Linked DNA regions of Coturnix japonica. Each later gene encodes a partner of the first gene's protein in a complex. Links are inferred from orthologs where the notes say so. Each region holds a gene or a part of one and is shown in the gene's direction. Other genes may lie near its edges. The genes, in order: RHEB and PDE6D.

Region 1 (4,281 bases):
ACCCAGTGCTAACATTGGGTGCAGTTCAAATAGCTCCTCCAGTAGGTGCTGGTTGGCCAGAGGATCGAGCAGGTAATTAAAGTGCTAATTGCTTTTATAGGAACTGAATGTACAAGCCAGATGTGTTTTGCATTTGGAACTTGAGTAGCGCTGTGTCCATGGGTTCGTATGCACTGAATTGCCATAAAAACATTGAACTGCTGGGTTACGTTTCCTAGAGGAAATTCATCGCAGACACAGGCAACAAAAGGCCGATGCTTTCCCATTTCTCAGCCTCAACATCTGTTCCTGATCTCAGTGTATATACACGCTCTATTTGTGCCGGCACTCTTTGTTTTGGAACCCAGACCATTGCATTCGTTGACCGCATCTGTTGGGATGTCGTTTATAATAAAACGATTATAACTCACCAACGATTGGTTGTACTGGTGTCAGTCACTCATTGCAGCGTTCTCTGAACTCCTTTGTAGCTCACAGGGTAAAACACTCTAGGAATGAAGATGCTGGATTAGCACTGGGGAGGGGCAAAGGGGAAGCCCTATTGCTAATGCTGCTGCTGGGAAGCCACAACCTCAGCACGGCAGGAAAGCACTAAGACTTATCCCAAGTAGAAGTGCTATGATACAGGTTACTTAGCCATGGAGATCCTGTAACTCACAGGGTTATAGGGCAGGAGATCCCGTAATCCACAGGGTTATAGGGCAGGAGATCCCGTAACCCACAGGGTTGTAGGGCAGGAGATCCCGTAACCCACAGGGTTATAGGGCAGGTGGGATGGGGTCTCTGGGCGGCCTGATCTGGGGGCTGAGGTACCATTTGTGAACCATGGCAGGGCATTGCAGCTGGGTGATCTCCATGAAGCCTATAAGATGGTCCCATGGCACTAGTAGAGGTTCATGTTGAGGTTAGGACTAACTCCTTCCTGTGGAGGACAGTCACACTGAGGTGATCCCGCCCCGCTCAGCCCCTCACACCCCACAACCCAACCGCCGTCTGGAGGCGCACCACGGCGCACGCGCGGCTTTTAACCCCCATCCAACCAATCCCCTCCCACGCATCCCCTTAGCCCCGCCTCCTTTCTTTGAAAACCGATCTCATCCAATCCCCGCCCTCTAACCGCGAGCAACTGCCCAATCAGCGCCCGGCGGGGCGTGAGGTGGGCCGGCATGACGCAGCGGGTTTGTGCAGCCGGCAGTCGGCGCGGTGTTGGCGGTGGGGGCGGTCGGTCGGTCCGTGCTGCGCTGCGGCCTGTGACGCGTGACGCACCGCTACGTGAGGGGACGGGCGCTGCCGCCGCGGGTTCCGCGCTCTCGGCCCATCGATCGCCGCCGCCCTCCAACCCCCCCCCCCCCCCCCCCCCCCCCCCATAACAACAACCAGCGCCGCATGAGGCTGACGGCGCACACGCAGCCTCCCGCCGCCCTCCGCCTCTTCTTCGTCCGCCTCCTCCCTTGATGTGGTTCGTGGCCGGGCGGGGGACAAGATGCCGCCGTCCAAATCCCGTAAGATCGCGATCCTGGGCTACAGGAGCGTAGGTGAGTGTTAAGGGGGGGGAGACGAAATGGGAACGGGTGGGTGGGTGGGTGGCAGGTGCAGGGCTGGGCCGGGCCCCGCGCAGTGCGGCCGGGAGGCGCCATGGCGGCGCCGCAGAGCGCTGCGGGCCCGGGAGCCAACGTGAGACTGTGCCCTTAATTGGACAGGGGACGGCACCGGGACGGGGGGGGGGAACAGCGGGGTGTACGGAGCTTTGTGCCCGTTTCCTCTGTCTGTAGACGTGTAGGATGAACGTACGGAGCGCTGCGGTGCCGGGATCGGGAGTGACTGAGTGGTGCGGTCGATACGGTGGAGGGAACGGGTGACATTCAGAGGGACCTCGACAGGCTGGAAAGCTGGGCTCGGGGGTTATGTTGAACCTAATGAGGTTCAACACTGTTTTGCAGTTGGGCAGGAAGAACCCCAGGCACCTGTACAGGCTGGGAGGAGTTGTCCTTGAGAGCAGCTCGGCAGAGAAGGACCTGGGGGTCCTGATGGACGAGAGACTCAACATGAGCCAGCAGTGCGCTCTGGCAGCCCGGAAAGCAAATGGGATCCTGGGCTCCATCAGGAGAGGGGTGGTCAGCAGGGATAGGGAGGTGATCGTCCCTCTCTACTCGGCTCTTGTGAGGCTCCATCTGTTGTACTGTGTCCAGGTGTGGAGCCCTCAGTACAAAAAAGACATGGGAGATTTTGGAAAGGGTCCAGAGGAGGGACAGGAAGATGATCAGGGGGCTGGAGCACCTCCCCTATGAGGACAGGCTGAGGGAGTTGGGTTTGTTCAGCCTGGAGAAGAGAAGGTTGCGGGGTGACCTCATTGCAGCCTTTCAATACCTGAAGGGAACTTACACCCAGGAGGGGAGTAAACTCTTGGAAAGGGCTGACAATAGCAGGACACGGGGAAATGGTTTTAAGTTAAAAGAGGGAAGATTTAGGTTGGATGTTAGGGGGAAGTTCTTCACTAGGAGAGTGGTTAGGCCATGGAACAGGCTGCCCAGGGAGGTTGTGGATGCCCCGTCCTGGGAGGTGTTCAAGACCAGGTTGGACGGGGCCCTGGGCAACCTGATCTAGTAAAGGTGTATGTTTGGTGGCCCTGCCAGGCAGGGGGGTTGGAACTACATGATCCTTGAGGTCCCTTCCAACCCGGGTCATTCTGTGATTCTGTGATCGTACGGCAACACTGAAGGAAAGAACTTCCCGGCGCCATCCAAGCCGGGAGCTGCTCTACAGCCCCACCAGATTCAGCGTCGTGGGGCACGAATGGAGCGGTGCGGCTCGGCATCGATCTGACTTAAAAGCGTAGATCGATGGGAAGGATAACGAGTGGCTGGGAAATAAACTGCTGTAGGAAGGTGCCGCTGTGCTGCTGAAGGGTTTGTGCTGTGAGTGGTGTGTCTGCGGTCGCACACTCAGCATCCGTAACAACGCCTTTTGCTTTTCCCAAGATTAAAAAAGGTTACATGAGTTGTTTAGATGCTGTGTGTGTAGCAGCAGCCTGGCTTCAAGGCTGGATAAACAGTGCTGTGTCTGTATGGTGCTGGAAGGGAGCAGCCTGCAGGAGGTTGGTGGTTCACATGGGGTGTCTAATACGGCACAGTCAGCCTCGGAGCTTGTCTCCTTATGTTTTCTTCTCCGAGTCCGGACTCAAACAAGCACTGGGCAGTGTGTGTGGGTAGGAGGAACGCTGTCAATTCAGTACATTGGATGGTCCAGGGGTAGATGATCCATTGAGCCTGACAGCACACATTGCACATAGCCATTATTAATGCCATTGCTGGTGTGACCCAGGATGATTTGGTGCTTGTATAGAAGGAGGTGAGCAGAAAGTTGCCTCCTGCCCATTAGGGTTTACTACTGTGCTCCTTCACCTGCAGCTTCATGAGACTGATGTGGTTTGGGGCTCTGTGGGACATGGTCTGTTCCATTAGGACAACTGCTTGTTGTAGACATACAGAAGAGAAGTAATAGTTTGCCTTTCATTAACCATGACAACTCTGTTGCCTTGCTTGTTCTTAGGTATAAATCTTGCATGTTTAAGCCACAGAGTTAAGTATGGGAGCTTTACGTTTCTAGGCAAATATTTACATAAAAGATCCAGCAATAGACGTGAGCTGTTGGGTGTTCTGTCATGTAGGGCTGTCAGATAAACAAGAAACATAGAGCATGACATGAAGTCAACCCAAGGATGCCTTGCAAAGTCCAGGAGAATTAACAGCATGGTTTGGCTTCAGATAGACTTATAGGTAAGTCTGATATCACGATGGCATGAATTCCACTTGAACCCTGGGTAAAAGACAGGATCCCATCCCAGATGAAATAAGGGATGTTACATTTGAACAGAGCTAGTTTTTGTCGGGGTGGGGGATAATTAATTCCAAGATCTGAAGGGCTGCTGAAGGCTTCTGAGCTTCCTTTTATAAATAGGGAACTGCCATTAACCTTAACGTTAGCTTTGACCCTGCAGTCTGGGAGGCTGCTCTGTTACACCGTGAAATGTTTCCAGCTCTGTGCCTTGAGTGAATGCTGAGGTGACCTGGGCTGTGGGGTTGGGTGATCTTATCATTTGCATATACAGCATGAGATTAGAAAATGGCGACCTTTTCTCCATTCTCTTTCAGTTCTGTGCTGAAACAACCGAGCTGACACGTTTCGGGCCGTGAGCTGTTCCCTGCAGCTGATGATTCGACAGCTTTGTGGCTCTCTCAGGCTCTGAGCACGCACGGTGTCAGGCAGCCACGTGCCCCACGA
Region 2 (4,545 bases), on another chromosome or scaffold:
TAACCATCTCTCACTTCACGCAGACCATGAGAAAGACACATCTGGATGGTGGCACATATGCAGTTGTTTGACCCCTTCCATCAAGTGTCAGATGGGAGAAGACCTCAGCTTATGAGCCCGTCTCCCTGGGACACAAGCTCTTGTAGCAGTACCTTTGGAGAAGAGCATTGCAATGTGCTTTGGGGAGGCAGAAAGGAGGCTGGAGGTGTCTCCTCACCTGCAGTGACAGCTCAGAGACTGTGATGCCTGCCAGAGGTGTAAAAGCAAAGGTGAGGTTTTTAGAACAAAATGGTTCAAGGGAATAGTGAGACTTGCTGCAATTTTCTTGCAAGAGAAAGTATTTTGAGAGGAAAGAACTCAAGGTTTCTGTCACTCTGAATCACAGAATATCCTAAACTAGAAGAGACCCATAAAAACCACTGAACCCAACTCCTGGTTCCACATAGAACCACTCAGATCATGTGTTTGACAGCACTGCGCGGGTGCTTTTTGAACTCCAGCACCCAACCAACCTCTAATTGAAGAACCTATTCATGATATCCAACCTGAACCTCCTGAGTTACACTGTCCCACCACACGCTTCTTCCCTAGTTTTAGGAGGGGAAATGGGTGGTTTTTGAAGCTGAGACGCAGAGGCTGCCAAGCACGTACCTCCTCACACAGCGTGGAGAGTTTGGGCACCCATGTCAGAACCACAAAGGCCCCAACACCGACATCAGGGCACACTCTCGTGTCAGGAGCCCTTCGCTGCCGTTGCTCGCTGCGAGAGCCGCTTCTGTCTGGCTGCCACCTCCCTGTAGCCCTAAGCGGGGCGGTTCGGAGCCCCCTGTGCTGTGGGTAGAGCAGCATGCTGTACTTCTGCCCCGCAGGCTTCTCCCTCACACACAACCGCTCGCTCTGGCCTTCTCCAGCTCTGCTGCTGCCTGCGCTCTCCCTGTCTCCCTGCCAGCTTTTCTTCGGGAGCGTTCTCTGCCCTTCTCTGGACGCACTGGGTAACGCCGGGCTATCCAGAACACAACAAGGCTGCTCCATGTCAGCTAACGGGGCGGTCAGCGCTGCCCACCGCCAGCCTTAATGGCACTCATAGGCTGTGCCGTTAATGGCACTCATAGGCTGTGCCGTTAATGGCACTCATAGGCTGTGCCCTCGTATGTTCGACGCCTCGCGGTTCTCTCTCCTCAGCGTGGCAGTGCTGTTGAGGAGCTCTGTGGCAGTGTACGCGGAGCCCCCAGTTGTCGTCCCGCACGCAGACTGTTATAAGCCGTGTTAACGTATTAACGAACGGCCGGCACCGGACACGCGTCCCCAATGGGGCCGGGCGAGGTTTGTCCCGCGCCGCCTCCCGTCCCCGCCGACGTCACTCAGCCCCGGCCGGGCCCAGCGCCTTAACAAGCTGCGCAGCCGCCCTTATATCAACGGAGGGGGAGGACGCGCCGTCCGATTGGTCCATCCCGCTGTCCTTCATCAACCAGCAGGGGCGTCGGCGGCTCGCGATTGGTTGTCCCGTCGGGGCGGGGAGAGCGGCCGCTGGGATTGGCTGCCTCGGCCGGTGGCGGGTGCGAGGGAGTGCGAGGGGGCGGGGCGGGGGGTCGTGAGGCGCCGCTGTCAGCGCCGCTCCCGGCCAGGCCCCGCGCAGCCAGGACAGCCCGCTCAGCCCGCCCAGCCCGCGGCGCGGCGCGGCAGGACCATGTCGGCCACGGACGAGCGGGCCAAGGAGATCCTGAGGGGCTTCAAGCTGTATCCTCACCGAGGGGGAGCGAGGGGGGGGCGGGCGGGGCTGGGGGAAAAGGGGGGGGGTGGCTGGGTACCGGGGTTTCCCTGTGTGAGGGCGGTTGTCATGGCAGCTCTGCCACACACGGGGCTGTTGTGTCGCGTCCCCCTCTCGGCCTCGCGTTGCGGGTCCGTCCCTCTGGGCGCTGGGCCGGGGGCAGCGCGGGGCTCCGAGCGGGCACTGCTGCGTCGTGCCGGGCCCTGAGGCGTCAGCGCTGCCCGAGTCCGGTTGTTAACGCGTCTGTCTGCGGTACGCGATGAAAGTTTGCGCCTTGTCGCTTGGCGTGCTGGGCGAGCACCAGTTTAACGCCGGTGCAGTGAAGCAGAAGTGGGAGCGGAGGGTCCTGAGTGCGGCCTTGCAACCTTGGGGATGGGGGGGGGGAATGACGGCTCAGCGCATAGGTCTGTGTGTGTGTAAGGGTGGGAGATGTGTACAGCTGATTTTACCGTAGCAGATTCTACTGCGCATAGTGGGCAGGTGCCAGCTTGGCCTTAAGGGGCAAGAAAACCAGTGGCTGTATTTTTTTTCCCCCCATAATGGAAAGGACAGAACCAAAGTGAATGAAAGGACAGAACCAAAGCGAATGAAAGGACAGAACCAAAGCGAATGAAAGGACAGAACCAAAGCGAATGAAAGGACAGAACCAAAGTGAATACCCCTCTTGCTCCAATGCTGTTATTCCTGAGCATATTTTTGGCCAGCGAGGTGCTGCTAATCTCTGTGCCAGCTGCAGCAGAATCTGAGTTACTCAGTTGGATTCAGCTGCTATCAAACTATTGGCAGATGCTTTGCTGAACTTATGAATCACTGTCCCCTCCCCCCCAGCTTTTAGTTCTGCAGCTGGTTCCTTTGCTTCTGCACTGGTAATATTGACAGTTCTTTTTGTTTGTGGAGCTGTAAGATTTTGGCTGTCAAAACACAATTTAAGCGTGTTTTGTGCGAGTAATTAGGAAAAGCATAAGCTCCTGACAAGATGAGACTGAGCTTTTGGTAGAGATGAGAAGGGTTGGAGAGTTAAACTTAAGGTACAGACTTTCACGTGTTTGTTTCTACTGGTTTGTGCACGTGCTTTGCCAGAAGCAGAATCTGAATGAAGGTCTGTGTCCAGCTATGGATGAAAAATCACTTCCATTGTTTGGTAACTTAAATAGAAAATGTTTCTTGACCTGGTGTTAAAGGTAAACCTCAATAGCTCAGATTGGAAAATCAGGAAAGTATTTATCGATGTATTGCATAGATGGGATTTCTTGAGTTGAGATAGTTGAATAATATGCAAGTATTAGAAGGAAAGTGACAGAGCAGGCATTCCTCATTTATGAGAGAAAGCCCTGAGACACCACAGCATCCACACAGGAAGCAGTTCGTGCCCAGATGTGGCCTCATTCTCTGTAAGGCAGCCACCAGCTCAGGCTTCCTTTTTTTGACAGTGTGTATTCTAAAACAGTACATTTGAAAGAGATGCTTTATCTTCTGCTCCCTGTGCTGAAGTATGTGTTAACTTGGTGCCCTCAATAAGAAAGGAAGAGAGAAACATCCTCCGGGAAGCTCTCAGGTTTATATTTGGAGTACTTGAACTTCTTCCTCCTCCCAAGAAGGAAGGAGCACACCCTGCAAACTTGCTGTTAGCACCAGAAGCCATCACAGCAGTACTTTAGGTATGGCATAAAAAGAAATAAGTATATCCAAGGTAGGTTTATTTGGTAGAGGGCATCACTGAGGAATCAGTTTTCTCACTTGAATGCAAGAACACACACTTTGGAAATGGAGTTTGCATTGAGTACTGGAGCACCCTCAACTAAAGTCTGTTCATTTGTGGTTTCTGAGAAGAGACTAACTACAGGCTTTCAAGCTGATTGGGACATGCTGCTGTGCACATTAAATTACAGCCTAAATCCACCCTCTGACTTAGCACCAAGATATGCTTCCCTTCCTTTATGACACTAGCACAGAAGCATGTTGTGGCTAGCGTCAAATTCAGACCAGGGTATTTTACTCCCTCTTCCCATAGACTTTGTTACTTAAGAAGATGAAAACCGAAAGGAGAAATATTTGATACTTGCAGACAAAAGAGGTTTCCCACTTTATTACACTAGGATTTTTTTATGGCACCAGTAAACTAAACACCAACAGCGTAGTTAATGTGTTACGATAAGAGATGGAAAGCAACCATCAAGATCTTCTATAGCTTGTCACTTCCTAAGAGACAGTACTTGTTATCAGACCTCTCAGGTACATTCATCAACTCACTGTTCTAAGGATGCTGCTTAAAATACAGCATCTTGGTGGTCTGGCACTCTGAGAATACATTCTAGTTGCTTGTCCATAAGTAATACCAGTTCAGTTAGCTAATATTCCAAAGGAAAGCATCAGTAATTACTGAGCTTCATTTCCACAAGCTTTTATACACAGCTGGTCCTGTAATCTCAAGTGCATTCGGTCTGACTCTGCTCTGTGCTCTGTCACTCCCTCTGTAGCTTCCTCCTGAACTGGGGCAGTTTCTCCATCAAACTGCAGAGTGGTGTTTTAATTGATCTCTAACCAGCAAGGAGAAAGGAGTTCAGCAAAGCCAGCTGACTCTTGTAGCATGGTTAAGGTACTAAGTAAACATACCCATTTTCTATTTTAAAACTTACAATTCAGGCAAGATATCACCTGTATTATTTGCTCTTTCACAGAAGAGCATCAGAATGTTAACCCTAGGTAAATGCCAACTAGGCACTTACCAGCATAGGGTAACTTTCCTTAATGAACTTCCATTTAAGGCTATGCAGCAC

What was found.
Region 2: the proteins of RHEB (region 1) and PDE6D are in contact, whole or in part, in a crystal structure (PDB 3T5G), measured with the Homo sapiens proteins. The link is inferred for Coturnix japonica from reciprocal best matches to the Homo sapiens genes RHEB and PDE6D. Residues at the interface, in NP_005605.1 of Homo sapiens: Pro2, Gln3, Ser4, Gln57, Asp77, Gln176, Gly177, Lys178, Ser179, Ser180, Cys181; in NP_002592.1 of Homo sapiens: Ile53, Leu54, Cys56, Val59, Val80, Gln85, Cys86, Leu87, Glu88, Glu89, Trp90, Ile109, Glu110, Ala111, Ala112, Pro113, Gln116, Met117, Met118, Leu123, Tyr149.

Annotation. Positions count from the first base shown.
Region 1 is NC_029517.1:5,599,488-5,603,768, reverse strand, and holds the start of RHEB (GTP-binding protein Rheb), read left to right. Parts: upstream 1-1,193; 5' UTR 1,194-1,483; coding exon 1,484-1,535; intron 1,536-4,281. UniProt on the Homo sapiens protein: Small GTPase that acts as an allosteric activator of the canonical mTORC1 complex, an evolutionarily conserved central nutrient sensor that stimulates anabolic reactions and macromolecule biosynthesis to promote cellular biomass generation and growth.
Region 2 is NC_029524.1:13,401,662-13,406,206, reverse strand, and holds the start of PDE6D (retinal rod rhodopsin-sensitive cGMP 3',5'-cyclic phosphodiesterase subunit delta), read left to right. Parts: upstream 1-1,570; 5' UTR 1,571-1,687; coding exon 1,688-1,737; intron 1,738-3,299; exon of another isoform or gene 3,300-4,545. Other genes in the region: COPS7B (COP9 signalosome complex subunit 7b), read right to left, coding at 652-1,032. UniProt on the Homo sapiens protein: Promotes the release of prenylated target proteins from cellular membranes. Modulates the activity of prenylated or palmitoylated Ras family members by regulating their subcellular location.